3 linked regions of the Coturnix japonica genome follow. Each later gene encodes a partner of the first gene's protein in a complex. Links are inferred from orthologs where the notes say so. Each region holds a gene or a part of one and is shown on either strand. Other genes may lie near its edges.

Region 1 (8,329 bases):
ATTTTCATTAGAATGGATCTGTCTTCAGTTGTTCCATGGAGAGGGAATTATTCATAAAGAAGATGTTGCTGACTACAAGGAAGCTGAAGACATATTTATTGAGCCTACTCATGAAAAGAATGAAAACATAGCAGAACGTAAATAGAACAGCTTGCATGATATTTAGTCTCCTACATTGTTTACAGAATTTGCTTAATGATATGTATACAAGAACAAAAATAATCATACTAAATTCTGTACATGTCTGTGTGCAGTAAATTACTGAATCTGTTTACGAAGGCTCCAAAGTGGATAAGCTTCTTGAGCATGGAAAAGCAGCGTGGGGCTGGGAGTCCAAGGGCTTTGCTTATCACTGTGCTCTCTCACAGAGCAAAGAAGAGGCAATGCCTTTTGCTGTCTCTTCAAAGATCCCTGGAGGGTCCTTGAAATGCTAGTGGTGATCCCTGAGGTGGTTTCTGAGGTGAGCATAATGACTTTATCATTCATTCTTTAATCTCTTTGCCCTTTGAAACATAATTACAACCTACGTGCAATTTTCATAAGGTATCCAGATGCACATAAAACATTCAAGTGCACACAACCCAGCATAGACTCGCAGCATTACCGAATCATAGAACATCCCATGTTGGAAGGGACCCACAAGGATCACTGGGTGCAGCTCCTGGCTCCACACAGCACTACCCAACATTCAAGCCACACTTCTGAGAAGTCCAAACACTTCTTGAAGTCCATCAGCTTGAGACTGTGGCCTCTTCCTGGGCCCACAGCATCCAGCTAGACACTCAGAGAAGAACTTCCCAACATCTCCAATGAATACTTATCAGGATAGGAAAGGTTTGTTTTTTCCTCAGTAGTGTGGAAGAAGGTGGACAGATGGACTGAAGTGTTGTGCCAAAGTGCTCCGTGTTGTTACAAGTAACAAGAACATCATCAAGCCAGACGTGGTCCTTTTTAAATCTCCACACACAGTGCCTGGATACACTCTAGTAAATGTTTCTTCAGGTGATATTCTGAACCTCTCCAAGGGGCTTTCCAAGGAGTGCTTGGTTTGTTGGTTAGGAAAGCTCTCACAGCTGAGAACAATCCCAGCTGTAGGTTTTTTTGTTTGTTAACACATATAACAGCACAAGAGGCTGTTGTATGTATGTATAATGTGTGTGTGTGCCACAAACTGGATGAGAACTCCAGGGACAACCTGAGCATCTCCATGCCCAAAGTACAGCAGGACTCAGCAGGCTGAGCCAGTGTGAGGGCTGAAGCAGAAACGTGGTCATGAGAGAGACCTTGGTAGCACAGCCTGGTCTGGGAGACGAGTCCTAATGAAGTTTGTTGGGGACAGCAAGTGACCAAATGACTGCAAGCCTTCCAGACCCATCTCTGAACAAGAGAGCACACAGATGAGCAGGTGTGTTCCCTCAGCTCTTCTTTCACACTAGCTTCCATCTGATAATACAGCTGGAGCTTTCTTCCTTTCAAAAGCAGGAGGAAAAAGGGGCCCTGACAGAGATATGCATAAGACAGCAGCCCATACTTTAAGCCTGCGTGATCCACAGCATACCCATTGCTGTGGCTCTCTGATTTTTCACCTCTTTTCTGTCAGGAAAAGACCAACCTTTCCTTTCAAAGAGAACTATAACGCAAGAGCACCAAAGCACAACACGAAGCAGGGATGCTCAGGGCCACAGATGCTGATCCAGGAGCACTCCCACTCACGGAAAAGAGCATTTTCAATCCACCTGTGGTCTTTAACACTCTTTCAACCCGGTCTAGAGAAACACAAACTTCTCGTTGTCAAAAGGCAACTTTATTTTCGGATGAGAAACACCACACACAATGGAGAACACACTGTGTTCCGGGATCGAGGGCGATCCTCGCACCTCGCGCCGCGACCTGGCAGGGGCGCTGAGGGGGAACGGCGGGGCTCTGAGGAGCGGCCCCGTACTTCGCCGTGTTCCGAGGCGGGCTCGGGCCGCTTTCCCTGCACTCTGAAGGGGCGGGCAGGGCGGGGCGGCCCCCCAAGAAGCGGCAGCCGCCGGAAGTTCCCCCTCCTGGCTCGGAAGTGACGCCGCGTGCACCTTCCCCCTCCCGGCAGCGGCGGCGGAGCCGGGCGCGGCTGGCGGTCGGCCCGAGGCGCGGCCGGGCGGGATCATGGCGGACGGCGTGGACCACATCGATATCTACGCCGATGTGGGCGAGGAGTTCAACCAGGTACGGGTCGGAGCGGCCCGGCTCCTCCTCCCCTCGCTTTCCTTTCCTTCTTCACCCGCCTTCGCCGCCGCGCCGCCTGCAGGGCCCTGTGCGCGGGGCCGGGCCGCGCCGCGCCGCCATTGTTCGGGCGCCCCGCCGCAGGGCGGGACGGAACGGGACGGAGCGAGGCCGCGCCTCAGGCCCGGCCCGCGGGGGATCGGGGCTGGGCCGGGCGGGGAGCGGCGGCGCTCGGGGGCGGGAGGGAAGGAGGGAAGGAGGCAGGGAGGCAGACAGGCCGCGGGCGGGCGCCTTCCCTCCCGCTCTCTGTGCCGCCACAGCCGTCCCGCCCGGGACAGCGGCCCCTTCCCGGCCATTGTTCGCAGCGCGGGAGGAGCGGGGGAGCGCAGCCTCGTGCTGCTGGCAGCAATGCCGCCCGCCGGCTGTGCCCGCAATGCTCGGGCTCTTGGTGAGCCGAGGGGATTTATTTGTGTGAGGAAGTGGCGGTGTAACGCGCACAACTTCCTGCACTGCCGTCTGATTTCTCTGGTTTCTTTTTCACTCGCCTTTCCCCAAAGCCGCCTTCCTCCCTTCCCACCGAAAGGCGATGTTGTCGTCGGGTTTGTGGAACATCTGTTCCATGTGCGGGTGCCGCACTTCTCTGGCTGCACTGCCCTAAAACAGGTCCCATAGTGCTGCCTGTGTGGAGTGGGAGCAGGCGGCAGGGTTGGGATACGCAGCTCATGTTACCAGCAACTTTATTTCTTTCAGTATTTGTCGGTAAATTAATTTAGATCGATAATCTCCTGAAGGTATAGCATATAGCTACGCCATCCCTCGTGAGCAGATGACAGAGACATGTGCAGGTTTCTCCCTGACAGCTGAAGACCCATTAGATGAATTTACGTGGGGGTGATGTACAGCACAAATACCATTCAGCATAAAATATAATCTTTGAGGCCTCTGCCAGCCCAAGCTGTTCTCTGATTCTATCTCAGCAGCTTCTGTAGCAGCTTTGGTTTTGTGTTAGTCAGTTCCACGTAAAAAAGTGATAACAAACCAAGTTCTTCAGAAAAGATAGTTTGAATCCAGTAGTACTTGTGTAAATTCGTATAGGGGGCAGGCCTCGAAGTGGTGCAGTTTGTGGCTGTAACCTCAGTGAAGACAGATTTTTTACTTGCTTTAATTTTTGCAAGACATTTCTGTTTCTTCTTTTCTAAGCCTGAGTTCTGGGGCTTTCATGTTGTCTCAGAACCTACTCAGCTGAACTGTATTTCATTAAAATAGAAAGTTGGACTGGCAAAGATTGGCACCTCTGCACTTTCCATTTCCTTCTGCAGAGCAGGAACAAAAGCCAATTGTTACCACCTACAGCGCTGCTACCTCTAATTCTGATGCCATTGTGATGAGTCCTCTTGAAACCTCTATTCAGGGTTTCTGATTTGAAGCTGACAGCTTGAATTAATAGGAGAGGACTTACAGTTCAGCATGGCTGCGGAGGGGTGAAGATTACAATTCTCTAATGCTGTAGGGGGAAAATGATGGCAATTTGATGGTAATTTATGTAACAGGTGTTTTATGCAATGCTGTATTTCTAACGAAAATTTGTTTTATATGTAAAACAACATACTGCTCTTGAGTTGTGTGGTGCTGTGTCCGCTTGCTAGTGTTAGTTGGACTGCAGGAGCCCCTTCCATTAGTTTTGTTGGTAGCAGGGACTGGAAACATGCTGTGCAGCTTTTTTCATTCTTCCAAATACGGTATAACTGTATTTATTAGTAAAGCTGGGACAGCACTTTTGTGTTTGTAGGAAATAAATCTCTTAGGATTCGTGGTTGAGTGAGCCCTTCGTTGCTCTGTCCTGCTCTGAGCCTCAATGTGCTCACTATTGGAGCTCTTTAGAATCATAGAATTACCCAGGTTGGAAAAGACCTTAAAGATCATCAAGTCCAACCGCAGCCTAACCAGTACCCTAACTCTAACAACCCTCTGCTAAATCATATCCCTGAGCACCACATCCAAACGGCTCTTAAACACATCCAGGGATGGCGATTCAACCACCTCCCTGGGGAGCCTATTCCAGTGCTTAACTACCCTCTCTGTAAAGAAGTGCTTCATAACATCCAACCTAAACTTGCCCTGGTGCAACTTGAGGCCATTTGGGGATTTGTTTTCTGCCTGCTTCTATGAGGTGGGAGGATGTTCCACCTGATTAGCACTAGATGAAGTCCAGGTTACAAGGCTGAAGTAAAAACTCCAGCCCCCAGGTTTTCAGGCTGGCTGAACTGAATGAAAACTGAGACCTGTCTTGCAGCCAGCTGCAGGTTGCAAAGAACTGGCTGGCTGGACTTGAAGTCACATCTTTGCAGTGAAAGCACAACTTTCCCTTCCCATCTGGCGCTCATCAAAACCGTATGTGCCTGTGTTGCCTCTTTCATTAACCTACTGTTCATCATAACTGTGTCCTTTGTCCTTGTGTCTAATGCTTTACTCAGTTTGTCTCCCCTCACTTGTATTTAAATTGGTTTTAATTCCCATTTCATTTCCCCCTCCCCTTCTTTTCTTGATAATTTGTCTTCTCAGCTGACTTCCCCATCCAGCAGTGTTTTGTATTTACGCAGTGTCATGTTCTGAACCAACAGTCCCATAACCGCAGTATTTTTGCTCGCATCACTTGTGACCTGTACGAAGTATGTGTGGTGTGGTGTGTTCTGCTTTGACCATTTCCATGCAGGTCTATGCTGTGCATTATCTGCATACAGATGGCCGAAGCATCCTGTTGGTGGCAGAAGATCGCGGTAAGATTAGAGGTGCTTTAGAAAGTGTTAAGAGTGTGTTTTTGTACTTGGGAGTACTGAGTGTCACGGCACAATAGTCTTGGAGAAAGCAGCCTAGAGGCTTCTTACATGGGAACCACAAGGGCTGTGAAGTCTTAGGAACATGTTACTCTCTCGACTTTGTGTCTGGAACACAAAGAAAAATACTTTTTGTTTAATAAATGATCATTATTGGTTGTGTAAAAGTAACAACTAAAAACAGCCGTTACATCAAGAAAGCAGTTGCTGCCTTGGAGGGGCCGGGCATGTTGTGACATGATACATTTTTACTCAGAAGGGCAGTACTGTCTTGGTTGTGACTCTTTAAACGCTCTTTAAAAAGAGTGTGAGATGCCTTACTTCTATGTATGGCTGGTTTTCCTTGGTTGTCTTGGTCTACTAACCAAGAGATCTACTGAAAGGGCCCTGGGTGTAAGAGATAACCTTTGTTATTTGCAAATACCACGCTGCAAAGAAAACCTGAGACCATCTCAGCTGGGGCCTGTTAGCTTTGCTACAATGCAAACAGTGACACTGCCTACACTGCCTTTATGCTTTTGGCCTTGTGTGAGTTCTTACATTAGCCAAGGAATTAGACTGCTCTGCTGCGGACGTCTGGGCCTGTTGAAGTTAATGGGAGTCTCGTGGCCTAACAAACTTGTCCACCACGGGCTGTGTGCTGTTTTGGGAACATCAAGGGTTGTTGTTTTATTCCAGTTTGTTTATGCATTCAGACAGCTAATCAAAACCAGAAAGACTTCTGCCTGTTCCTTCAACTTGTGATACTTTTTTAGGACCTGCGGATGTTTTATAAAGTGAGATTGTTAGCATCCATGTAACGTTTTTGACTGCACATACTGTAACTTTGAATTGAAATAGCAGTAAAGGACAAGGTGAAGAATTTGCTTTTTAATTATTAAGTGCTCTTCTCAGAAATTATAGAAAGATTTAAATGGGATTTCAGCTTTTAATATCTTTTTGGGAAGGTAGTTTTGCATTTGACTCTCAAATAGAACGGAGAGAAGAAGGGGATCTCAGATGAATGCACAGTTCAAAGAACTTTTAATCCCACACACACAAAAAGAGGAAAAAAAAGGACTGTTTTCCTTTGTAAGAGGAGTGGGAGAACCCAGGTATTTTTTGCCATGCACAAGTGGAAGGCTGCTAAGTTTCAAAACAAAGTATCGCTTTTAATTTATCCCTCCTGGACATGGTGGTGATGCTCCATGTGTTTGTCTTTCCTACTTCAATGTTGCAAAGTGCTGCAGGGGGTGATTAAAACACAAAATACATGGGAAGGGCTGAGGAACTGGTCGTTGAAAACAGCTCGTCTGGGGCAAGTTTTTGACAGTGTATCTTTTCAATGCCCTTTGTATTCACTGAAGCCGAGACTGAGTAACACCGACAGTGAAACTTCAGTCCTGATTTTCCAGAGCAAACGTTGTTTGATTTCAGATAGGGATCTTGTTAAAGTGTGATGTGTGGAAACACTGCTGCTCTGATTTGCGTATAGGAGGAGTGGCACTGATGGTGCTGACTGTCTGTAAGGATGTTTATCTGTAAGAGTGTGAATGACGATGACCAGAAATCCTTTCACGCTCCATGGCTTTTACTTAAGGAAGTTGGAAGATGTCAAAACCTGCACTGCTCTGCTGATTTTCTGTGCTGTGATGGTGATCTGAAAGCCTATGGAACAGAAACTCAATCCAGCTCGGAGGAGTTTCTTGCCAGTAAGGAAGCACAGCGTAGCTGCAGACTCTCACCTGCTCCTGTTGGTGTTTTGGCAGTGCTGACCTCAACCTTCTCAGAGACAGAGGTCAGCATACGTCTGCTGTAAAACTGGTGGCTGCTTGTTTGGCTTTGGCCTCCTAGGCTGCATTCTTCTTTCCTAAAGTCATCATCTACACACAGAAATGGCAAGAATTGCTGCGTGTTTAGCAGAGGATTTCCTTAGTTGCCTTGTGACATCACTCTTGATCTTACCGTCAGATAGCATGTTTCAGCCTGTCCCAGGCAGTTCTTTGGCTTTAGTTTCGTTAATTACAATGATATGAGAAATCAGCTGTAGGTGGAGAACTGAACAGAATGAGTGAAAACACAAAACTTTATTAACTCAGTGATGATAAACTCACTTGGGAAAACATTAATTTTTTGTTGAAGTTCAGTGTTGTGTATTGGGCCAGTGCAGTTCAAACCTACTTGAGTGACAAAGCCAAAAATTGCGTATCTGGTTTTATTTATTCCAGTGATATCTTCTCTAAGAGCAGCAGCAGCGAATAATGAATGTTTTCATATTTTCAAGAGAGCTGTTCATCTGAGGATGGCTGTGGATATAGTTGGTTTTCAGCCAAGATTGCTCGCTTTGCAGCTTGTTTGCTGTGGTGGAATCCACACTGATCCTCTCTAGTCACAGTATCTGCTATTCTGAGTTACGCTGTCGACGATGCTTGTGTGGGTTTCTAGATAGAGAATCACAAGATAACAGCCACTGAAATATCTCTGATAAAAACCTGGTGAGGCGGTTTCTGTTCTGTATCATTGTGGATGAGTCCAGGAATGCTCTGAGAATGTTTGAAGTTCCAACCTTTGCTTATGGTGAAGCAAATTTTGCATGTCAATATAAAGGCTCTCCTAAGCTTTTTCCGTAACATTTCAGGGAACAACAGTGGTCTGCCTCCCTGTCAGTAGAAACTGTGTTGATGCCTCTTTTGAGATAAATTGGGCTGCTTTATCATAAGTGATTGCTTGGATAGCAGCATCCCAGTGTGGGAATTGATCACTGTAGAATATCACAGAATCACAGAATGGTTTGGATTGCAAAGGACCTTCAAACAAACAAACCAGATCCAAGTCCCTGCCATGGGCAGGGCTGCCACCCACCAACTCAGGCTGCCCAGGGCCCCATCCAGCCTGGCCTTGAGCGCCTCCAGGGATGGGGAACTGCAGCTCTGCTGAGCAGTCCGTGTCAATGCCTCACCATGCTGAATGTGGAGAATTTCTTCTTTATATCTAGTCTAAACCTGCCACCTTATGGTTTAAAGCCATTACCCCTTGTCTTAACACTACACTCCTTGCTGAAGTGTCCCTCCCCACCTTTCTTGTAGGCCCCCTTCAGGTACTGGAGGGCTCCAATGGAGTATCCCTGGAGTCTGTTCTCCAAGCTAAACAAGCCCAGATCCCTCAGCCTTCCTCCATAGGAGAGGTGTTCCAGCCCTCTGATTGTCCTCATGGCCTCCTCAGGACCGCTGAATGATGAATGGAAGTGTATGAAATTAAATGTGTCATGGGAAATGTTGGGTTTTTCCTTTTTCTTTTCCTTTTTTTTTCTT
Region 2 (10,827 bases), about 31 Mb from region 1:
CAGCAATGAAGGCGGCGGTGAAGGCGCACACCAACACCACCGTATCTGGCACTGACTCTTCGGGGACTCCTACAACATGATCCCAAATGAGGAGGACCCTGTGATCACATCCCAGCCCTAGGACACCCCAAAGGTGCCAAAGCCTCATAGGAGCCCCATAGCTTCCTGATGGAGACATGGGGTGGGGGATGGGGACACCACAGTGTGACAGGGCAGGGGATGGGGATACCCCAGTAATGGGACACGGAGCAGAGGATGGGGGCACCCCAATGATGGGACATGGGGGCACCCCATGGACTGGTGATGGGGTCACCACAACAATGTGACAGGGCAGGGGATGGGGATATCCCAGTAATGGGACACGGAGCAGTGGATGGGGATACCCCATGGATTGGCGATGGGGACGCCCCAGTGATGGAACATAGGCAGGGGATGGGGACACCCCAATGATGGAACATGGGGACACCCCATGGACTGCTGATGGGGACACTCCAAGGATGGGACATGGTGAGTGGGAGGACCCCCATTAAACCGGATTGGATAATGAATGGCATTGGGGACTTCATGATATGGGGACACTCACGTGGCACTGCTGTTGTCACCCCAGAGCCAATGGGGAACACAGGGGAGTTGGTGGCCATGGCGAGGCGTGGGGTCAGTGCTCAGGGTGCCGTGACACTGTCCTGCTCTGTGTCTGGGGGCACAGGGATGTCACTGGCCCCAGCCCTGCCCTGATCCCGTCCCCAATGCTGTCCTTGAGCCCCCACAGTGGCTGCCCCGTTGGTGTCACACTGGTGTGTGTGGGAGGGGAGGGGGAGAGGGAATAGGAGGCTGGGGGCAGCTATAGGGCATGTATAGGGAGGCTATAGGGTGGACTGAGATATGCCTGTAAGGCAAAGGTCCAGGGCAGCTACAGGCAGCTGTAGGACAATTATAGGGTATGTATGTAATTATAGGGTGGCTATAGGGCACAGGTTCAGAGCACCTATAGGGTGGAGTGTGGGGCAGTTAGAAAACATGCAGTAGGGCAGCTGTAGGGCAAAAGTTTAGGGCAGCTATAGGTTGGAGTGGAGGGGATCTATAGGACACGCTACGGAGCATCTATAGGGCGGGCAGTGATGCAGCTATAGGGCAGGGGTCCAGGCTGGTTATGGGGCATACTGCGGAACCTCTATGGGGGAAGCTATGGGGCAGGATGAGTGCAGTGCATCGCTGAGAGCAGCCCCACCAGAAGCAGCCCCCCCCCTCCCCAGACCCCCCACGCCCCTTTGCCGGGCAGCACGAGGTCCCGCCCCCCTTTGTCCCTATCCCACCTCCCCCCTCCCCCAATCCGGGGGTCCCCTCGCCCCTCACCGGTAGCGTCGCGGCGCCGCTCGGAGCAGCGGAACGGCTCCGGCACCGCCCGTTTGGCGCCGGTCCCGGTGATGCCGCTGCTGCACCGGGCGGGGCCGCGGAGCAAAACGGAGCTGCCAGGACCTGCCAGGGGCTGCCCCGCCCAGATGTGCCCCGCCTCCCCCCCCAACCCCCCCATCCAGATGTGACTCACCCAACTGTGCCCGTAAGGATCGGGGGGGTGGGGGAGGCATTCAGCCCCCGGTTGGGGTTGGGGGGCTCCGGGATCACTTGCAGCTCGACCATTTGGTGCGTTATTATCTTTAAGGACCCTTTCAACGCAACGGTTCTTTGATCTTTAAGGACCTTTCCAACAGCACCCAACCCAACCCAACCAATCAAAGGGTCTGTCATCTCTATAGACCCTTCCAACCCAACTATCATATGGTTCTGTGATCTTTAAGGACCTTTCCAACCCAACTACCCCACAGTGCTATGATCTTAAAGGACCCTTCCAACCCAACCATCTTATGTCTCTGGATTTTAAGGACCTTCGCAACAACATCTATGGTTCTGTGATCATTTAATGACTTTCAACCCAACCACTCCACAGTGTAATTCTCTTAAAGGACCCTTCCACCACCATCTTATGTCTTGATGATATTATAAGGACCCTTACACAACCACCAATATTCCTTTGATCCAATAAGGACCTTTCACAAACATCTAATGCTCTGTGATCTTTAAGGAACTTTCCAACCAACTCCCCAGTGTATGATTAAAGGACTTCCAACGCAACATCTTATGTCAGTCTGTGATATTTAAGGACTTTCCAACCAAACCTCATATTACTAGTGATTAGGACCCTTCCACCACCATCCTATGTCTGTGATCCTTAAGGACGACTTCCAGACACAACCATCCTATGGCTTTAGTGACCTATAAGGACCCTTCCAACCCAACCATTCTATGCCTCTGTGACCTTTAAGGACCCTTCCAACCCAACCATCCCACAGCCCTATGATCTTAAAGGACCCTTCCAACCCAACCATCTTATGTCTCTGTGATCTTAAAGGACCTTTCCAACCCAACCATCCCACAGTCCTATGAACTTAAAGGACCTTTCCAACCCAACCTATTTCCCATTAGGATCCCATTTGGATAATGGGACTTGGTTGGGGATAATGGGATCTTATGGGGGTTAATAGGATCCAGCTGAGATAAGAGATCTCAGTGGGGTTAATGGAGTCCCATTGACATAATGAGACCCAACCGGGACAATGAGATCACGGTGGAGATAATGGGATCCTACTGGAGTCAATGGGATCCCAGAGTGGTTATAGGATAATAATGGGATCTCATTGGAAACAATGGGATCCCAGAGTGATTATAGGATCCCACCTGCTATAATGGGATCTCATTGGAAACAATGGGGCAATGGCATCCAACGAGGGATAATTGAGTCACTGTGGGGTTAATGGGATCCCAATGGGATAATAGGATCCCAGTGTGGTTACAGCGCCCCTCTGGCATAAGGGGATCCCAGTGGGGTTAATGGGGTCCCAGTGGGGTTAATGGGGTCCCAATGGGGTTAATGGGGTCCCAGGGGTGTTAATGGGATCCCAGTGGGGTTAATGGGATCGCAGTGGGGTTAATGGGATTCCAATGAGGTTAATGGGATCCCAATGGGGTAAATGGGATCCCAGTGGGGTTAATGGGATCACAATGGGGTAAATGGGATCCCAGTGGGGTAAATGGGATCCCAGTGGGGTTAACGAGATTGCAGTGGGGTTAATGGAATCACATTGGGGTGTTAATGCGATCCCAGGGGTGTTAATGGGATCCCAGTGGGGTTAATGGGATCCCAATGGGGTAAATGGGATCCCAGTGGGGTTAATGGATCCCAGTGGGGTTAATGGGATCCCAGGGGTGTTAATGGGATCCCAGTGGGGTTAATGGGATCACAATGGGGTAAATGGGATCCCAGTGGGGTTAATGGATCCCAATGGGGTTAATGGGATCCCAGGGGTGTTAATGGGATCCCAGTGGGGTTAATGGGATCACAATGGGGTAAATGGGATCCCAGTGGGGTTAATGGGATCACAGTGTGGTTAATGGTCTCCCAGTGGGGTTAATGGGATCCCAATGGGGTTAATTGGGATTCCAGTGGGGTTAATGGGATCCCAGTGGGGTTAATGGGATCCCAGTGGGGTTAATGGGATCCCAATGGGGTAAATGGGATCCCAGTGGGGTTAATGGGATCGCAGTGGGGTTAATGGGATCCCAGGGGTGTTAATGCAATCCCAGGGGTGTTAATGGGATCCCAGTGGGGTTAATGGGATCCCAGTGGGGTTAATGGGTTCACAATGGGGTTAATGGGATTCCAGTGGGGTAAATGAGATCACAGTGGGGTTAATGGGATCCCAATGGGGTTAATGGGATTCCAATGGGGTTAATGGGATCCCAATGGGGTTAATGGGATCCCAGTGGGGTTAATGGGATCACAATGGGGTTAATGGGATCCCAGTGGGGTTAATGGAATCACAATGGGGTTAATGGGATCGCAGGGGGGTAAATGGGATTCCAATGAGGTTAATGGGATCCCATTGAGGTTAATGGGATCGCAGTGGGGTTAATGGGATCGCAGTGGGGTTAATGGGATCACAGTGTGGTTAATGGGATCACAATGGGGTTAATGGGATCCCAGTGGGGTAAATGGGATCACAATGGGGTTAATGGGATCCCAGTGGCGTAAATGGGATCCCAATGGGGTTAATGGGATCCCAGTGTGGTTAATGGGATCCCAGTGTGGTTAATGGGCTCACAGTGTGGTTAATGGGATCCCAATGGGGTTAATGGGATTCCAGTGGGGTTAATGGGATCACAATGGGGTTAATGGGATCCCAGTGGAGTTAATGGGATTCAAATGAGGTTAATGGGATCCCAGTGGGGTTAATGGAATCACAATGGGGTTAATGGGATCACAGTGGGGTTAATAGGATCGCAGGGGGGTTAATGGGATCACATTGGGGTGATTTGACCGGAACTTTGTTTCCGGGAGGGAGCGCTATTGGCGTAACACCACCGAACAGGAAATTAAGAGCGGAACTCATTTCCTTGCGGGGCGGAACTTCCCGTTTCGAAGTTTCCGGGGGGAACACATTTCGCGTCGCACCGCCGCGCTCCGGTACCGGCGCGTAGGCCCCAAAGATGGCGGCGGGAGGAGGAGGAGGGCGGCCCTGAGAGCGGCGGCTGCGGCCATGGAGGGCGGCGGGGCCCAACCCAGCTTACAGCTGGTGTACCAAGCCGTGCAGGCCCTTTACCACGACCCCGACCCCAGCGGCAAGGAGCGGGCCAGCTGCTGGCTGGGCGAGCTGCAGCGCTCGGTGCGGGGAGGGGGCAGCACGTGGAGGGGGGGTGGGTGGGGAGTTGGAGCTGGGGGGGCGGCGGTTCTGGGAGGTGAGAGGGGCGGGGAGCGGCGGGGAGCGGCACCGGGGGGTCCGGTGATCACACAGGGATGGCCCGGTGTCCTCATAGGGGAGACAGGCTGGAAAGCTGGGCTTGGGTGAACGTAATGAGGTTCAGCACGGCAAAGTGTTTGCATTTGGGCTGGAAGAACCCCAGGCACTACAGGCTGGGAGGAGCGGTCCTTAAGGACCTGGGGGTCCTGATGGACGAGAGACTCAACATGAGCCAGCAGTGCGCTCTGGCAGCTCGGAAAGCAAATGGGATCCTGGGCTCCATCAGGAGAGGGGTGGTCAGCAGGGATAGGGAGGTGATCGTCCCTCTCTACTCGGCTCTTGTGAAGCCCCATCTGTTGTACTGTGTCCAGGTGTGGAGCCCTCAGTACAAGAAAGACATGGAGATTATGGAAAGGGTCCAGAGGAGGGACAGGAAGATGATCAGGGGGCTGGAGCACCTCCCCTATGAGGACAGGCTGAGGGAGTTGGGTTTGTTCAGCCTGGAGAAGAGAAGGTTGCGGGGTGACCTCATTGCAGCCTTTCAATACCTGAAGGGAACTTACTCCCAGGAGTAAGTAAACTCTTGGAAAGGGCTGACAATAGCAGGACACGGGGAAATGGTTTTAAGTTAAAAGAGGGAAGATTTAGGTTGGATGTTAGGGGGAAGTTCTTCACTAGGAGAGTGGTTAGGCCCTGGAACAGGCTGCCCAGGGAGGTTGTGGATGCCCCGTCCTTGGAGATGTTCAAGACCAGGTTGGACGGGGCCCTGGGCAACCTGATCTAGTAAAGGTGTATGTTTGGTGGCCCTGCCAGGCAGGGGGGTTTGATCTACATGATCCTTGAGGTCCCTTCCAGCCTGGGTCATTCTGTGATCTGTGAGACTCGGTGCTGCCGGGAGTGTTCCGGATCCCTCCTAAGAGCTCCCTGGTGCTCCCCAGGGATCCTCTGTGCTCTCAGCGTGGCCGTGGGGTGTCACGGTGCCCTCCAGGAGTGGCTCGGTGTCCACCAGGGCTTCCTTCATTCCCCCTGCAGGGTTTCTGGTGCCCCTCAGTGGGTCCCGATGCCCTCCAGGCGCTCTTAGTATGGCTCTGATGCCCTGAGGAGTGTCCTGGTGCCCTCCAAGAGCTCCCCAGTATCCCCCAATTGATCCCCAGTGCTCCTGGTACAATCCTGATGGTGCTCAGTGCTTCCGTGGTGACCCCAGAAGGTCCCCTGAGCTCCTGATACAGCCTTAGTGTCCCCCAGGAGCTCCTGGAGTGGCTCTGGTGCCTTCCAAGAGGTCCTTGATTCCCTTTTGGACACTCCCTCTGCTCCGGGAATGGCTCTGTAGCCCCTCAGGAGTGTCTTGGTCCTCGTGGTTGGCAGCAATGGAGCCGTGCAGAGGTTGAGCTGCAGAGCACATGGAGCTGTGGGCTTTAGGGAGGTGGAAAACCCAAATGCCTTCGCTGTCCTCCTGCCTCACAGGTGTCCCATGGATGTAACCAAGCTCCAAGTGTTTTGTGGATGCTGCTGTGCATAGAGCTGTGAGCACGGTTGGTTTTTAGTGATGGCTTAGTGCAGTGTGGTTGTGCTTTGAGGTGGATTTTTGGCTTAGTGATAGATAGGAGCCAGGCAGGGCTCGTGTTGATGGCTCATTCTGATAACGGTGTTCCTTGGCTCTATTCCTAAAGCTAACGGAATGAGAATATGGAAGTGCAAGGTAGAAGGGTAACCCCTAATTAACCTTAAGAAACCTTTGGCCGTGGTATTTGTTCAGGTTAGGGGCTTCATTAGGGCCTTGGTCTTTATTGGAGCGCCCATCTTGGTTGTTGTGTTTGTCATCACCTTCAACACCCGGCCTTTGCAGCCCAAAGTCATTTTGGAAGCCCAGGGTGGGATTGGGAGGTAGAAGAAATCCTCACACAGGCTGTGGAAGGAGCTGAGTGTGGGGAAAGGGAGGAACGAGCCTTCATTTTCAGTATGCAGTCGGGGTTTAGGGTTAAGATTTTTAGTTTAGGATTAGAGTTATCACTTTAGGATTAGTGTGTTAGGGTTTGCATTGAGAAGGTTTGGAGCAAGGTGGGCTGAAGGCCCCTGCCAACCCCAGACCACTGAGGGGCTGCAGGAGCCCCCCTTGCTTGAACCATTCCCCAATCCCATGATGGATCCACCTCTTCCCAGCCTCACTTCTCATCGGTTAAACCCTTTGGGACTGTGTCTGGTGCATGCAGTGATGGGAACTAATGGGAGCTGTTGGGGCTGAGGGAAAGAAAGGTGGATTTCAGAGGAACAAAGCAATTTCACTGAAACAAAAACTGGCGCTCCAGTTGGGTGCCACCATCAGCCTCAGCCCCCATGTCCAGTGTTCAGTAGACCAATATTTGGTGACGGGGAGTTCATCGTGTGGCTAATGGTGTTGGTGCAGGGAATGTAGAGGTGTGTTTGCATCTTTAATACTCTGCCTTCACCCACAGGTTCACGCCTGGGAGATCTCAGACCAGCTCCTGCAGATCCGGCAGGATGTGGAGTCGTGCTACTTTGCAGCACAGACGATGAAGATGAAGATCCAGACCTCATTCTACGAGCTCCCCACCGACTCACACGCGTCCCTGCGTGATTCTTTGCTGTCCCACATCCAGAACTTGAAGGACCTCTCGCCAGTCATCGTCACCCAGGTAGGGGGAGGCTCTGGGGCTGCTCCCAGCAGGGTTAGGGCTTCCCCTGGAGCTGATTTTTGCCACCAAAGCTCTTCCCGAGGTCTTCTTGGCTGCTTTTCCTCCATTGTAGAGCAAGGAGAGCCAAGCACAGGATGCCAAGCACAGGATACTGTTCCCTGTCTCCATCTGATAACTGTATTTAAACTGATCAATGCTTTGTCCCCATTGATTTGATTTCTGTATCCCCTGCGGACACTGTTGTGTTCTGGGAAACCCCTCCCATCCCATTATCCCAAATCTCAGCGGTGCCGTGCGGCCCAGCCAAGTCTTTAAGTAACCCAGCACCAAGCGTGGGGCACCGAGCCTGCATCAGCTGTGCAGCAGGGCCATTGGGCTGCCAAACCTGAGCTCATTTTTCCCCCCAGTACTATTGGAACACAGACAGCAATCTGAAGGAAGGGAGCCCGCAGAGCTCCTCCTGCCAGCTGTCTGGGAATGCCCCTCCTGAGCTGGGGTGGAGGTGCTCAGTGAGATGGGATGGCTGGGGAGCAGAGGGGCCACAAACATCCCACAATGAGGGATGTTTGAGGGTTTTGCATCTCCACTCTAAGCTGTGTTTTCTCTCCTTCGCAGCTCGCTTTAGCAATAGCAGACCTGGCCCTGCAGATGGCTTCTTGGAAGGGCTGCGTGCAGACGCTGGTCGAAAAGTAAGTGATGGTTTGTGTCTGCTGGTGGACAGACCTGTGCGATCTGAAAAGACACATGGCAGCAAATGGGGCAGCAATGGGGGTGTTTCTGTGGCTCAGTCCGTAAAGAAGAGCTTCTCAGATCGCCTCTGAGTAGAGGTGGAATTCCCATCCATCACTCCACATGTGACAGCGCTTAGGATTCCACATCTACGTTTCTGCCCCCTGCCCACGTGCTCTCTATGCTCCGGTTGCTTCCAGGTACAGCAATGATGTCACCTCACTGCCCTTCCTGCTGGAGATCCTGACGGTGCTGCCCGAGGAGGTGCACAGCCGCTCGCTGCGCATCGGGGCCAACCGCCGCACTGAGATCATCGAGGACTTGGCCTACTACTCCAGCACTGTTGTCTCACTGCTGGTAAGGGCATGTGCTGCAGTGCATGGGGCATGTTCTCCATTGGGTCTTCTCCCAGTTTCCCTTCCACCCCAAACAGTTCTGGGATAGGAGGTCCCATCCACCTCAGACAGTTTTGGGATTGGATTTCCTTTCCACACCAAACCATTCTGGGATAGAGGGTCCCCTTGGCCCCAGACCATTGCAGGATTGAAGGTCCTAAACCATTAAGTGATTTGTCTTCTGGTTCTCAGTGTTTGAGTACAGATAAATGTAATTAATCTCATGGCTGAGTCCAGAGATCTTCACTGGGCTGGGCTGAAGTGCAGAACCTGCCTTTGGAAATTTATGAGCCCAGTGAGGATCTCTGGGAGCCCAGCATGACCTTTTTGGTGCCTTAGGATCCTAGAATCGTTAAATCTTAGAATACCCCAAAGTTGGAAGGGACCCGTGAGGATTGTTGACTCCAATTGGTTCTGCATGGCAGCACCCAGAACCCAAACCATGCGTCCCTTGGGGGACACGAAGGTCACCCCGCAGTCTCCAGGATGCCTGTCTTTCCCCAACCTCATTTCTCAAATCATGTGAGTGCTGCAAGTGGTTTTTCTTGTCTTGCCATAGATGACGTGTGTGGAGAAAGCAGGCAATGATGAGAAGATGCTCATCAAAATCTTCCGGTGCCTGGGGAGCTGGTTCAACCTGGGGGTCCTGGACAGCACCTTCATGGCCAACAGCAAGCTGCTGTCGCTCCTTTTTGAGGTGTTGGTGAGTATCCCTCCTGTTGTGGTGCTCTTAAGTCCATATGGTGCTGCTTCTCTTCCTATAACTCCATCCCCTGTGTTGGATGGGAATGTTCTGGGCTCCCAATTTTGGGGGTGGCGTGGCTGAGTAATGCCATTTCCAGCCTGTCCGGGGATCACCACCACGGCCAGGTTTGCAGCTTGGTCAGCGGTTTGCCATAGTCATGAAATGAAGTTTCGGGGTTGCTTTTGGTTTGAGGAGTTGTCTGTATTCCTTGGGTAGGAGAAAAATGTATTTTCTTCATCTATGTTCTTCTTTGAACAAACTGCGTTTGCTTAGCACTGAAATCAATGCTGAAAATCAGGTTTTCAGCAGAAAATTTAATTCCCTTGCTGACACTTTTATTGCTTAATTCCAAAGGGGTTTTGTGCTTTTATGCACATGGCAGAGCACCAGCAGCAAAGGGATTCTGACGTTTTCTGGAGGTGCAGCCCCACGTTGTATCGCTTCCTCCCCTCGTTAACAGGAAGCTCATTTGCATCTGTTCCATGGTGCAAATTAAACAAAGGACAAATGCAAACAAGAGCTCCTGTTCAGCAGAAGGAGCAGACAACACTCAATGCACGTCCTGCAGTGCTCTGGGCTGCCCCGTGTATGGCACAACATACAGATCTATCTCATTCGCCCAAACCCATCTTCCCTTTTTCCTCCTCCTCCTTGCAGCAACAAGACAAGACCTCCTCCAACCTGCACGAGGCCGCCTCAGACTGCGTCTGCTCGGCGCTCTATGCCATTGAGAATGTGGAGACCAACTTGCCCCTGGCCCTGCAGCTCTTCCAGGGAGTCCTCACCCTTGAGAGTGCCTACCACATGGCCGTGGCACGGGAGGACCTGGACAAGTGAGTGACTGTGTTTTGAGCAGCAGAAGTTGGCTGCTCTGCTCTCTGATGTGGCTATTTTGGGGATTTGCTGCATCTGTGTTGTTTTCCTTTCTCACCTTTGTGTTCTGCTCATGGTTCTGCGGTTCCAGAAATCTCCTACCTTGTGTTCCAAGTTCCATGCAGATGAGTTTCCCATATTTTAAGATGTTTCTCCAAAGCAAAAAAGCACCTGAAGCCATTGGGGATCTCCAACCCACTGGGTATCCCAACACAACAAGGGAATCTCAGACCCACTGGGAATCCCAGCACAAAAAGGGAATCCCAAACCCACTGGGGATCCCAACACAACAAGGGAATCTCAGACCCACTGAGAATCCCAACACAACAAGGGAATCCCAAACCCACTGGGGATCCCAACACAAAAAATCCCGAACTCATAGGGGATCCAAACATAACAAGAAGCACTTCAAGCTGTTGGGGATCCCAAACCCATTGGGATCCCAACACAAGAGGAAGATCCCAAACCCACTGGGGATCCCAAACCGATGGGTAATCTCAGTGCTACAAGAAGCACCTGAAGCTGTTGGGGATCCAAATGCAACGAGAAGCACTTGAAGCCACTGGGGATCACAAACTCACTGGGGATCCCAATAAGAAGCCCTTGAACCTGCTGGGGATCCCAATCCAAGAAGATTC
Region 3 (10,827 bases), on another chromosome or scaffold:
GTCTCCCAGTGACTGCAGAATAGAAGAGCATAGTCTGGGTGGGCACTGTGAATTTTTAATGGCCATGACCTGGTAGGTATGAAATGTTACTTAACTGTTGGCTGGGTGAGAATGCAATTTCGCTGAGATATGGATGCTCAGCAAACCAGGGGTAAATCAGCCTTGAGAAACACAGCCATTCAAGTAAGCCAAAGTCACAGCAAGTTGTTTGTTTCACATACAGGTGAGTTCCCCTAAGCTCTTGCAGCTTAGATAAGAACACTCTGGTTATCATGGGAAGGATGATGTGATTCCATCCTTCTGCTTTGTTTCCAGCAGGAAATGAGAATGCTGAAGCAAAGCTTATAGGTTTTGATGTATCCCTGCACAGCAGTGTACAGGCAGGCAGTGGTTATCTATCCACAGAAACACAGAACGGCTGAGGCTGGAAGGGACTTCGGGAGGTCATGCATGACATGAGGACACTACCAGCCCTGTAACCACATTGCAAGGAAGCACAAAGCTCACCTTAAGAAAATCTTTCAGGAGAATTTCTGATCGCTCCTCAAATTCCTCCTGGATTTGAGCTTGGGAGTCCATGTCCAAATAAACTACGTTGACCCACTTATACAAGATTTCATGCTGGAAAGGAAATGGATGTGAACAACATATTTGCAAAAGTAAAAGCATTTCCCCAATTCCTCTTTGCCCAGCTGCCCATAGTACTACATTCCACCCACCCACTCCATTGCTGACCTCTCTATACTACTGTTGTCATGCACAGGGGACAGAATAAAATATATATAGAGAGATATATAGGAGGGAAACTATCTACAAATTTATGGACAGGAATCAAAAAGGAGACTTGGATAAGCTAATGTTTAAAGCATCTCCAACCACTGACGTGTCCTGAACAGGTATTTGAGAGACATGAAAGAAAGGTAAATGCAGTTCAGTGGACACTGGCTACTCACATCGTAGGGGATGTGTGGGCTCCTGGGCAAGGGAGCTTCGATGTAGCGTGCAGGTCGCTCTATTGGGGGGCCATGAAACCAGCCGCTCACTGACATGCGGCACTTCTCCTCCGACAGAATCTCTGATACCTGGAACAACATCAGCAGCACGTCAGTTTAGAATACATAACATGAAAGGAGTAGCTGTAATTGGTTACACAGACTCATCCCTCATGAGAACCTACTGCTTTCAGAGAGGAGGCAGCCAAGGGCTACAAGAAGCTGGATTATTCTCTGTTCATAGAGAGAGAGCTAAAACAAATGTTGATGCTCGAGTCCCTTGCAGATATCCAAAATCCCCACCTGACCTTTTATTCTATGCTCCCTATTCTATGCTAGGAAGTAATGGTAGGATTTTCTTTCCCCCAAGATGACGGAGTTAGGCTGACAGCTTAAAGTTGGCTTTGCCAGCTTCTGTCTTCCCTAAAGTTATAAGCTTTTAATGCACAGCACTTAGCATAAGTATCTATTCTGACTGCTCATGCTTCTCCCTTCCCCTTTTCTCCTTCCACCCAGGGCTGTAACAGCACAAAGAACAAATAGCCACAACAGAGACAAGAATAAAGACATGAAAAAAGGCAGCTCCTTGCCTGGTGGAAAGAGACTGGAGACACTTCAAAGAAAACAAGCGTGTTCCATGAAGGCATCAATGACTTCACGATTTGCTGTGGCTGAAAGTGTTCTGAGGAGGAAGAAAACATACTCTGGTTAAGATACTGAACTTACTAGCAGCTGATGGTTCTGACTTCATGGCTAACTGGTGGGATACTTCAGCATAAGGGCTGGAGCTCAGGGCTTGATGAGAAATCAGAGGACTTCTGTTGTTGGAAAGGGAATTACTTAGTCCCTTTTAAGTCCCAAGCACAGTTATTGGCATCGCTTCTACCCCGCCTTCTTGGAAAAAAAAAGGATTCCCCTCTTTGTTAAATCTGCTGTCACCCACTGGCTTTGTGGCTTTGTCTACAAAGACTTACAACCCCCTCTGCAAGGTGCAAGTTTTATCTACATATCAGTTCTGAATGAAGGAAATACTCTTCATAGAACTGCTGTGAGGGGTGGGTGCACAAAGGTCATCTCTTTCAGTCAACTAACACTGAGCTCTTACCATCTGTGCTGAACAGGTCCAGTGTCCCTCCGTCACTTTTCTCCCATGGCGGCACGAGGTACAGGATGAAAGCAATTCTCCGGCCTTCCAGCTCATCATCATGGCACAGCAGTACATCTGCAAGAACACACAGTTTGCTACAGTAAAGCTGTGCTGAGTATACCTATGATTAATTTCAGTGGTTGCTTCTCAGCTTTCTCCCTGCAACTGTACAAGAAAGAACATGCTGAGAGGCGAAAATGCAGTTCTTGGAAGGGCAGCACTAACACCACAAGGTTAATTTCTGTGGGATTTTACTGTAATTAACCTACTCTGAAGATGTGGAAATACAATTCCTGTCACCCACCACAGTGGGTGGATTAACCAAGGTCTGCTTTTTGATACACAGCTGCCCTGCAAGATGTTTGTGCTGCAGTGGAGGGAAAGGGAATCCCTGAGCATTGAGCAGTTGGTTGCATAGAAGACTTACAAGCAGTACAAGTGTTCCTTGCCTGCCATAGCAACGTGCATGCAAGGGGTGAGATAGCCTGGATGGAACAGCCACCATCCAGGGTTGGAATACCAGCCTTGGGCCCTGCTGCAGCTGCAAGCAGCATGACCACAGTAATGGGGAAGGGTCAGGAGGCGTTAGGGACAGGCTGTGGTTCACTGGGTGGTGGGCTCAGCCCCAAGCTCCAGAGCTGAGGGAGCGCTAGGACGCTGCTCTCAGACTCGGGGTTTGGGTGGTGCCATGTGGAGTCAGGAGGCTGGTGGGCAGACTGACCTGTGCTCTCATACTTGGCGCAGGAGATGTCAATGGAGGGCTCCAGCTCAATGTGGGTAACAGCCTCCAGCCACGCTCGCAGGGTCCCGCTCAGCGCCCGCCTGGGGAGCAAAGCACAGGGTGAGGCAGGCCCAGGATGTGCTGCCCCGTGGACCCTGCTGCCTTACCTCAGTGCACTGACGTGGGGCTCCGGCCTGGCCCCCAGCTCCTCGGACTGCGGCAGCATGGGGAGAGATGGAGAAAAGCATTGAAGAAGGTGCTGAAGGAGACCTCACGGCTCTGCAACCCCTAAAAGGAGGTTGTGGTGAGGATGGGGTTGGCCTCTGCTCCCAGGGGACAGTGATAAGGTGAGAGCGATGGCCTCGTGTTCTGTCAGAGGGTCAGGGTGGCCATTGGGGAACATCTGCGCTCTGAAAGAGCAATGAGGCAACGGCACAGCTCAACGGGGAGGGGGGGGGTGTCAACCATCGCTGGGGTGTCCCAGAGTGGTGTTGCTGTGGCACTGCGGGCTGCAGGCAGTGCGCACTCTGTGCTCTATGTCGCTCAGTGCACTCTGTGCTCTATGTCGCTCAGTGCACTCTGTGCTCTATGTCGCTCAGTGCACTCTGTGCTCTATGTCGCTCAGTGCACTCTGTGCTCCCTGTCGCTCAGCCCCGCTCCCGTCCCGTCCCACCTGGTGCACTGTCAGCAGGTCGTTCCGTCTCTCCCTGTATCCCAGGCCCAGCAGCTCATCGCCCAGCGCCGCCGCGAATGCCGGGCTGGCCAAGAGGCCGCGCAACACGCCGTGCCGGAACGGGGCCCGCTCCACCGCTACGGCCTCTGCGGGGACAAAGCGGGCGGTCAGTTCGGCAGGCGGCAGTAGGATGAAAGCCGCTAGACCCCCCCTAGGGCCCATCCCGTACCGTGCCGGAGCGGCTCCCCGCCGTCCCAGGCCGCTGCCGCCCGCTCCCGTAGCTCCACATCACCGATGGCTGCACACAGCTCGGCCTCCACCTCCCGCCGCCCGCGCTTCTCCACACCGCGCCCGCCCGCCGCTCCGCGCCGCTTGGCCCCCATGCCGCCGCCGCACACCGAACTACCAATCCCAGCCGTCCCTGCGTGTGCCGAGCCAATCAGAGAGCGTGGGGGGCGGGGAGAGGGGTAGGGCGCCCTACGATTGGCCAGGAGGGACGACTCAGCGGCGGGCGCCGTCGGAAGTGGAAGGCGGGCGCTTCCGGCAGAGCGGGGCCGCTTGGCCCGCCGGGAGTTGTATGGCGGATCGACTTCCCGCCGCCTCCCGCCATGTCCGTGGTGCCGCCCAACCGCTCGCAGACCGGCTGGCCCCGCGGGGTGAACCAGTTCGGGAACAAGTACATCCAGCAGACTAAGCCGCTGACCTTGGAGAGGACCATCAACCTGTGAGGGCCGCGCTGGGGGCGGGAGGAACCGGCTGGAACCGCTCGGGGGTCGGAGCGGGAGGGGAGCGGTGCGTGATAGTGATAGTGACAGTGATAGTGATAGTGATAGTGATAGTGATAGTGATAGTGATAGCAATAGTGATAGTGATAGCAATAGTGAGAGTCCGGAACGGCGGGGAGAAAAGGGGCCTCACAGCGCTGCGGGAACAACCAGCCGGGGGGACACACACGGCCCCGCCATCAAAGGCTGCACAGGCACCATCCGCTGCTCGGCCACCATCGGGGATGGAGCAGCCCGAACTCTGGGCGGCCGCTGAGTAAAGAATGTTCCCTCTTTTAGTCTTAATTCACTTCATCTTATCGCTGCCTGTGTAAAAAATCACTCTCCCTATGGACCTGCTACAACAGCTCCGTACCCTTCCTATGCTGGGGGACACAAATTCTCCAGGTGGGGTCTCGTGAGGACAGAGCAAAGGGGACAGTCCCTTTTCTCTTCGTGTTGCCATCCCTCAGTTGATGCAGCCTTTCTCTTGCCTTTCCAGGCTGCAGCACACTGTCTCATGTCTCATTTTTCATCCATCAGAAGCCCCAAGACCTCTGCAGGGCTGCTCTTAGTGAAGGCTTAAAGGGACAAGAGAGGAGCTTCCTCTCCCTTTTCTCCAGGCTGCGGAGTCAAAGCAGGTGGCTGCAGAGTAGCTGTAGATGCTTCTGGTTGTGTTTGCCTGTTTCTGGGTTGGCACCATGACAACGTATCCCACCGGCATGACTTCCTGCCCTCATGAGCCATGGTGCAGCCCTTGGCATGGCATGGGGTGTGCAGTGCAGCATGCAACCCAGACCTTGTAGTCCTTTGCAATGAGTGAGTTTCTGCTCCCTCGAGTACAGAAGGCTCAGCTGCAGGGTGAACACTGCGTGCTAGAGGTGTCAATTTAGCTTTCTTATTATGTAGTAATACTTTTTTTCCCCTTTAGGTATCCTCTCACCAATTACACATTTGGCACAAAGGAGCCCCTTTATGAGAAGGACAGTTCAGTGGCTGCTCGGTTCCAGCGCATGAGAGAAGAGTTTGACAAGATTGGCATGAGGCGGACAGTGGAAGGAGTTCTGATAGTGCACGAGCACCGGCTGCCCCACGTGTTATTACTGCAGCTGGGGACGACGTTTTTCAAGCTGTAAGTGCCTGCTTCTTGAAAGCACCTTCTTAGTCCAACCAGAAAATTACAGACCTCTTGAAATGTACATATCGCAAAGTAAGATGTGGCCAACTCTGCTTGGTGTTTTTAATGAGATTCATTTGTTCCAAGCGCATGGTTTGTGAGAACTGTTTTTAAAATGATGAAATTTCCCTCTAAAATGTATTTATCTGACTCTACTCGTGGGTAGTGGAGAGTTGCCTTGGTTCTAAAGTCTCTGGAAATCTTTGTTGCACTCTGGTAGGTTCCTGTTGGAAGCCCTGCTGGTAGTCAGGGTTTGGTCTTACACTGTGCAAGCTGTTATGCTTAAATACACTTATGCTACGGCTGCAAAAATGGCAAACCCTGGGAAATGAGTAGTGGTTATGAATTTACAAACTGCTGGGTCAGCTGGGTATAAGAGGGACAGGAATCTCAATTTGTGAGGGAAGTGCTTCAATTATTCCAGTGTTATCACAACTGGAAGGAAGTTTTGGTCATATGATTATAGTGGTGGTCACGCTTGTTTTCTTATTTTAAAATGGTTCGACTTGGGACAGGTGATTCTCCTTGTATTCTTGGTTTTATGTTTTTAACATTTGCAGTGTTTGGTCTCAGGTGAGGAGTAAAATTATCTCTATATCCAGATTCTTTTTTGATATGGGGCATGTATGTAGATGAAATAGGCACATTGTTTGCCTTTGCAAACAACTATGACGAGAATGTATCTTCATTTTTCTCATTATCCTTGCATGAAATGCAGGATAATTCTCCACTTGAGTTTTATGCTTCCTGCACACGTCACTAAGTACTGCTTTTGAGATTAGAACAAGCACAGCTGGTGTTTACAACCCCTTCTTCAACTTCAGTGCTTTTCTATTATTGTTAAAACTTAACCTTCTAAGTGTCTCTATCATTATTATGTATATTGTTATACTTCATCCCACTGAAGTTATTATTGTTGGCCTGTTTTGCTTTGTTTTGTTTTTTAAGGGGCACGTAGCAGCCATTAGAGATGGTCTTGGTGAAATCTACCCTATTGTCTTCAGATTGGGCATGGTTAGATTTAGAACCTCAAATGCAAAAACCTTGAGTGAATTTGTAGCTGCAAGCATGGAAATGTGTCCAAACTTACCTGTGAAAGTCTGCTAACACTGTAAAACATAACTCTAGCTTTAATCATTGATTATTTTAACAGACCTGGTGGTGAACTCAATCCAGGAGAAGATGAGGTAGAAGGGCTCAAACGCTTAATGACAGAGGTCTGTTTTCTTTTGTTATGTCGCAATACTAGAATGTTGTGGAATGTTGAATGATGTTAGAGTTAGTAGAATAGCCAAAGAACTGCAGCAGTCTCCTCGTCACTTGTCATTTTAATGCTGTAAAATGTTCTCAGGTCACTAACAACAAAGTATTACAGTAAGCTCTCGCTTATCCTCATGAGAGTGTAACCCAGTGGTCTGTCTTCCCCCCGAGTCCTGTGTTCATGTGCAACTTGTGTTTTGGGCTGTCATCAGATGTGCAGCAGGATACACAGCTGAGCACAGTGTGAGGATGACAACTTGTTTTTGAGCCAGTTTTCCCCACGTTCTTAACAACTTTATCAAAACGATTGCTGTCAGGTAGTGTCACTGCATTTCCTTCTTCTCATTGGTCTTATGGCACTCAGTTTGGCTGAATGTAGTGTGCAATTCAGAATGTCCTGTCAGGTGAGGATTTTATGAAAACAAAAAAAGCCACGTTGTAAAAGCAACCAAACATTAAAAACTATTCCAGAATAGCTCTGGACTACATCATACCCTTATTAGAGCAACTCTTCATGCTGCCAGAATGCACTTTCTACAGTATTGCTCGGAGTATTTAGTGTTCTGACTGTAGCTGTATTTGATAGATCCTGGGCCGTCAGGATGGCGTCCAACAGGACTGGGTGATTGATGACTGCATTGGTAACTGGTGGAGGCCAAACTTTGAACCTCCACAGGTGAGTACTTACGTTGACTTTCATTTTCTTAAATATAATTTGTTTTTCCAAAAGCCTTGAAGGAGCCACTTGGGCTTTTGGAGTGCTTGCTGCATGAGCCATTAGTTCTTGGGGGCTTTTGTTAAGCTATTCAGTCTTCTTTCTTTGACTGAAGACAAACTACAAAGTTTTTCTTCTGGAAGCTCCCTCTGCCTCCTTACACCTATCTACCCTGCCCTGTGCTGAGCTAGGCACTCCATTTAAGTTCCCGTTTTAACCACAGTGGTCACTTTTGCAGCACTTATGCTCACGCCCTGTGAATAGTCCCCTCTATTTCTAAATGCTGAGAACACTTGCTCAGTTTGCTGTTGTGCATTTCTGTCTTGTCAGGCTGGTTTAGCTGAGAATAAGAATTGGTGCCTACAGTACTTTCAAAGCTCTGTTCAAGCATCTTTTTTTTTTCTTCCAGTACCCCTACATCCCGGCTCACATTACTAAACCAAAAGAACACAAGAAGCTTTTCTTAGTCCAGCTTCAAGAAAAGGGTAAGTGTTTGTTTGCAACAGAGCAATTTATTTCTCAAACTATCAATGCATGTATTTCATGCAAGGAAATGTGGCTGCAGGTTTGTTTTCATATTCTTGTGGTTCATTTGCTTACAGTTAATCATTATAAAAATAAATGTTGGTATCAGTTTTGAAGTCGGGTGGTTGTTTGAACACAGGTTCCCAGTAAAGTCCCATTCCTGCTCCTACATCGTGTGCACAGCCCTGCAATTAAGCTTGAAAGGAATAAACCTACTTTGGTAGTCTAGTGCTACATGATCTTGCTTTGAGATCTGTTGGGAGTACCCTTGCCTGAATGCTTGGTGATATTTTTCATTTAATACTAACCAGCTTTATTTATTGGTAGCTTTGTTTGCAGTCCCCAAAAATTACAAGCTTGTAGCTGCACCGTTGTTTGAGCTCTATGACAATGCACCAGGATACGGACCCATTATTTCCAGCCTTCCTCAGCTTTTGAGCAGGTACGTTGTGTTTGCTTGCACTGTGGTTCTGGGAGCCCGGGCCTTAAGGCAAAGCAAAATAAATCACTTTTGCTGTGTCAGGTGGAGGCTGCTCAGGAATAAAAACGTTTGCCTGTTCATGTTCCAGAATGTCAGTTAATTAAATGGAATAGAAGTCTCTCACTTGGTGTAACTCTTCCAATTTTAGGTTCAACTTTATTTACAACTGAGTTCCTGTCCAACACCTGAGGAATCTGATTGAAGAAGCCGTCTCTGTGAGCACAGCTTTATGATGTAGAAAAAAGAATGTGTTGACTCGAGGATTTCATTTTTGTTCCTTTCCCGAAGGCCACTAAGATTCTCTTGTATGAATAGAGAAGTGAATCTCAGCTGTTTAGGTAGCAGGATGGCAGCGTGATGTCAGTGATTTTATCACTTTCCATTGTAATACTCACCAGTTTTTTTTGTACGACATTAAACGAGATGGAACCGACTGGTTGTCTTTTGTGGAGTTTGTTCTTCCTGTAGTTGTCTTCTAGTTGGAAGAATGCGACTGAAACTTTGGAAGTACACGGCAGATGCTGAAAGCTGCTGGGGGAGGTGGTGCAGCCAGTGCCTGGAGGTGCTGGAGAGGAGCGGCACTGAGGGATGTGGATGGTTGGGCTCCGTGATCTCAGAGTCTATTCCAACTTAGTGATTCTGGATATTTTATGTAGCTCCAGGACTGACTGTAGGCGCTATAGCAGCGCGGTGTGCAGGCAGCAGCTCCAGGCACGGTGCCTCTCCGTTCACGGGCAGCCGTGCGAGCACCTGGCTCTTGTTGCAGCGTTCCGACAGCCCAGCCGGCCCGCACCGTGCGCCCGGCGCTCCGTTCTCTCGCTGTTACCCGGGAGCGGGGCCGCCGTAACCCCGCCCAAGGCCGCAGGGCCGCGCCGCAGCTCTGGGCGCCGAAGGAGCGCGGGCCGCGCTGCCGGAGTCCCGCCCGGTGACTCAGCGCGGGGCGGTGCGGGCCGAGGGGCGGCGCCGGCGGGCGGAAGGGCCGCAGGAAGCGGGGCCGAGAGGCGGCGGCGGCCGCGGGGCTCCGCGATGCCGCTCCTGTTCCTGGAGCGCTTCCCCTGGCCCAGCCTGCGCACGTACGCGGCGCTCAGCGGCCTGGCCCTGTTGGCCGCCGCCTTCAGCGCTCAGCGCGCCCTCAGCGCGGCCGGCGAGCAGCGGGCGGGCGGGCCGCGGGCCCTGGACGTGGCGTACTACCTGCTGTCCGACAGCCTCTGCGTCTGGGTGAGCCGGGCCGACGGGGGCCGTGGTGCTCTGGGGGCCGTGGTGCTCTGGGGGCCATAGTCTTGCTCCGCGTGCCGACATGGAGGCCCTTAGCGCCAGAACGTGCCGGGCCGGGTGAGCGGCTCCTCGGGCAGCGGCAGCTTTGTTTGCCGGGCGTTCTGCCGGGAGGGGTTCGCGTTTCTAGAAAGCGAGATGAGCGATCGGCCCGTGTCGTACGGAGGGCAGGGTTACGTTTCATCAGAGCTGCGCGGCGCACAAAGCAGCCTCTGTTGGGCTCCTCTCGGAGCGGGGCAGAAGGATCCGTCGCTGACTGCTTTGTTTCCGTGCAGGTGCTGGTGAACACGGCGTGCTGTGTCCTGATGCTGGTCGCTAAGCTGATCCAGCGCGCGGTGTTCGGCCCGCTGCGAGTCAGCGAGAGGCAGGTAAGGCAGCACAGCACTGCTGTGTTTGCTACGTGGAACTGCTGAACACACAGTATAAATAAGCTTTAAAACACATTTCAGCCCTATCTCTGAGTTCTCTGTGCTGGAGTTCTCAGTGCTGAGCGTGCTGTCCAGTAGCACCATGTAGAAAACAATCTCCCCAGGAGATACTCCTGTATCTGCAGTTAGAGGCTTCCAGTGTTTTTCTGGAGGGAACTTCATCATTGTTTAATGGTATTTTACAAGTTCGGGGTCAACTTGCAAACCCTTTGTACACATTGCCAGATTTCTTACAAGCCCACCTCAGTTCAGGGCACTCACAACATCTGTTTTCTTCCCTGTTTTGCTTGTATATGGTGACATTTCTCCACTGCATTTCCCAGTTAGGGAAGTGCCAGTGTTGCTAACTCGCACGCCTTGCTCTGTACCCTGAGTGCTGCACAAGTATGGGTGCTCTCCAGCCTCAGGCATGGAGGCGATGACATGCATGTGGCCAGGACTGAAATCTCACACTGCTATTTCCTGAACTTATCATGGGTGAGAAGGTTTGTCAGAACGCAGCTAAAGGACCATTACTGCTCAGGCTTTTTAAAGCAGGATCCTGCAAAAGATAAAAGCAGCAACAGCAGTAGTTGGGATAGTAGGTATCTTAAAAATAAACATGTAAACATAGTTCTCTAGGAAAAATCAGGCTGTGATCATTTTTGGCACAGGGAGCTGTGGCACGTAATG

What was found.
Region 2: the proteins of CPSF6 (region 1) and TNPO3 are in contact, whole or in part, in a crystal structure (PDB 6GX9), measured with the Homo sapiens proteins. The link is inferred for Coturnix japonica from reciprocal best matches to the Homo sapiens genes CPSF6 and TNPO3. Residues at the interface, in NP_008938.2 of Homo sapiens: Tyr521, Arg522, Glu523, Arg524, Ser525, Glu527, Arg528; in NP_036602.1 of Homo sapiens: Arg620, Asn656, Arg657, Glu660, Arg661, Arg664, Arg667, Phe668, Arg671, Ser698, Cys699, Tyr702, Ile706, Asp709, Asp747, Asp750, Asp751, Arg754, Arg758, Gln761, Cys793, Arg797.
Region 3: the proteins of CPSF6 (region 1) and NUDT21 are in contact, whole or in part, in a crystal structure (PDB 3P5T), measured with the Homo sapiens proteins. The link is inferred for Coturnix japonica from reciprocal best matches to the Homo sapiens genes CPSF6 and NUDT21. Residues at the interface, in NP_008938.2 of Homo sapiens: Trp90, Trp91, Thr92, Thr93, Asp94, Glu95, Lys113, Phe114, Glu116, Asn117, Arg118, Ala119, Asn120, Gly121, Gln122, Ser123; in NP_008937.1 of Homo sapiens: Pro151, Asn152, Glu154, Pro156, Tyr158, Tyr160, Pro162, Ala163, His164, Ile165, Thr166, Lys167.

Annotation. Positions count from the first base shown.
Region 1 is NC_029516.1:32,102,166-32,110,494, forward strand, and holds the start of CPSF6 (cleavage and polyadenylation specificity factor subunit 6), read left to right. Parts: upstream 1-2,059; 5' UTR 2,060-2,148; coding exon 2,149-2,208; intron 2,209-8,329. UniProt on the Homo sapiens protein: Component of the cleavage factor Im (CFIm) complex that functions as an activator of the pre-mRNA 3'-end cleavage and polyadenylation processing required for the maturation of pre-mRNA into functional mRNAs.
Region 2 is NC_029516.1:730,637-741,463, reverse strand, and holds the start of TNPO3 (transportin-3), read left to right. Parts: upstream 1-4,464; 5' UTR 4,465-4,592; coding exon 4,593-4,718; intron 4,719-7,246; coding exon 7,247-7,447; intron 7,448-8,062; coding exon 8,063-8,136; intron 8,137-8,376; coding exon 8,377-8,533; intron 8,534-9,130; coding exon 9,131-9,274; intron 9,275-9,973; coding exon 9,974-10,149; intron 10,150-10,827. UniProt on the Homo sapiens protein: Importin, which transports target proteins into the nucleus. Specifically mediates the nuclear import of splicing factor serine/arginine (SR) proteins, such as RBM4, SFRS1 and SFRS2, by recognizing phosphorylated SR domains.
Region 3 is NC_029526.1:519,233-530,059, reverse strand, and holds NUDT21 (cleavage and polyadenylation specificity factor subunit 5), read left to right. Parts: upstream 1-4,069; 5' UTR 4,070-4,141; coding exon 4,142-4,257; intron 4,258-5,228; coding exon 5,229-5,429; intron 5,430-6,627; coding exon 6,628-6,691; intron 6,692-7,320; coding exon 7,321-7,410; intron 7,411-7,858; coding exon 7,859-7,934; intron 7,935-8,301; coding exon 8,302-8,416; intron 8,417-8,603; coding exon 8,604-8,625; 3' UTR 8,626-8,888; downstream 8,889-10,827. Other genes in the region: prolyl 3-hydroxylase OGFOD1, read right to left, coding at 508-621, 954-1,082, 1,583-1,674, 2,098-2,214, 2,861-2,961, 3,028-3,074, 3,534-3,679, 3,763-3,916; E3 ubiquitin-protein ligase AMFR, read left to right, coding at 9,482-9,673, 10,003-10,095. UniProt on the Homo sapiens protein: Component of the cleavage factor Im (CFIm) complex that functions as an activator of the pre-mRNA 3'-end cleavage and polyadenylation processing required for the maturation of pre-mRNA into functional mRNAs.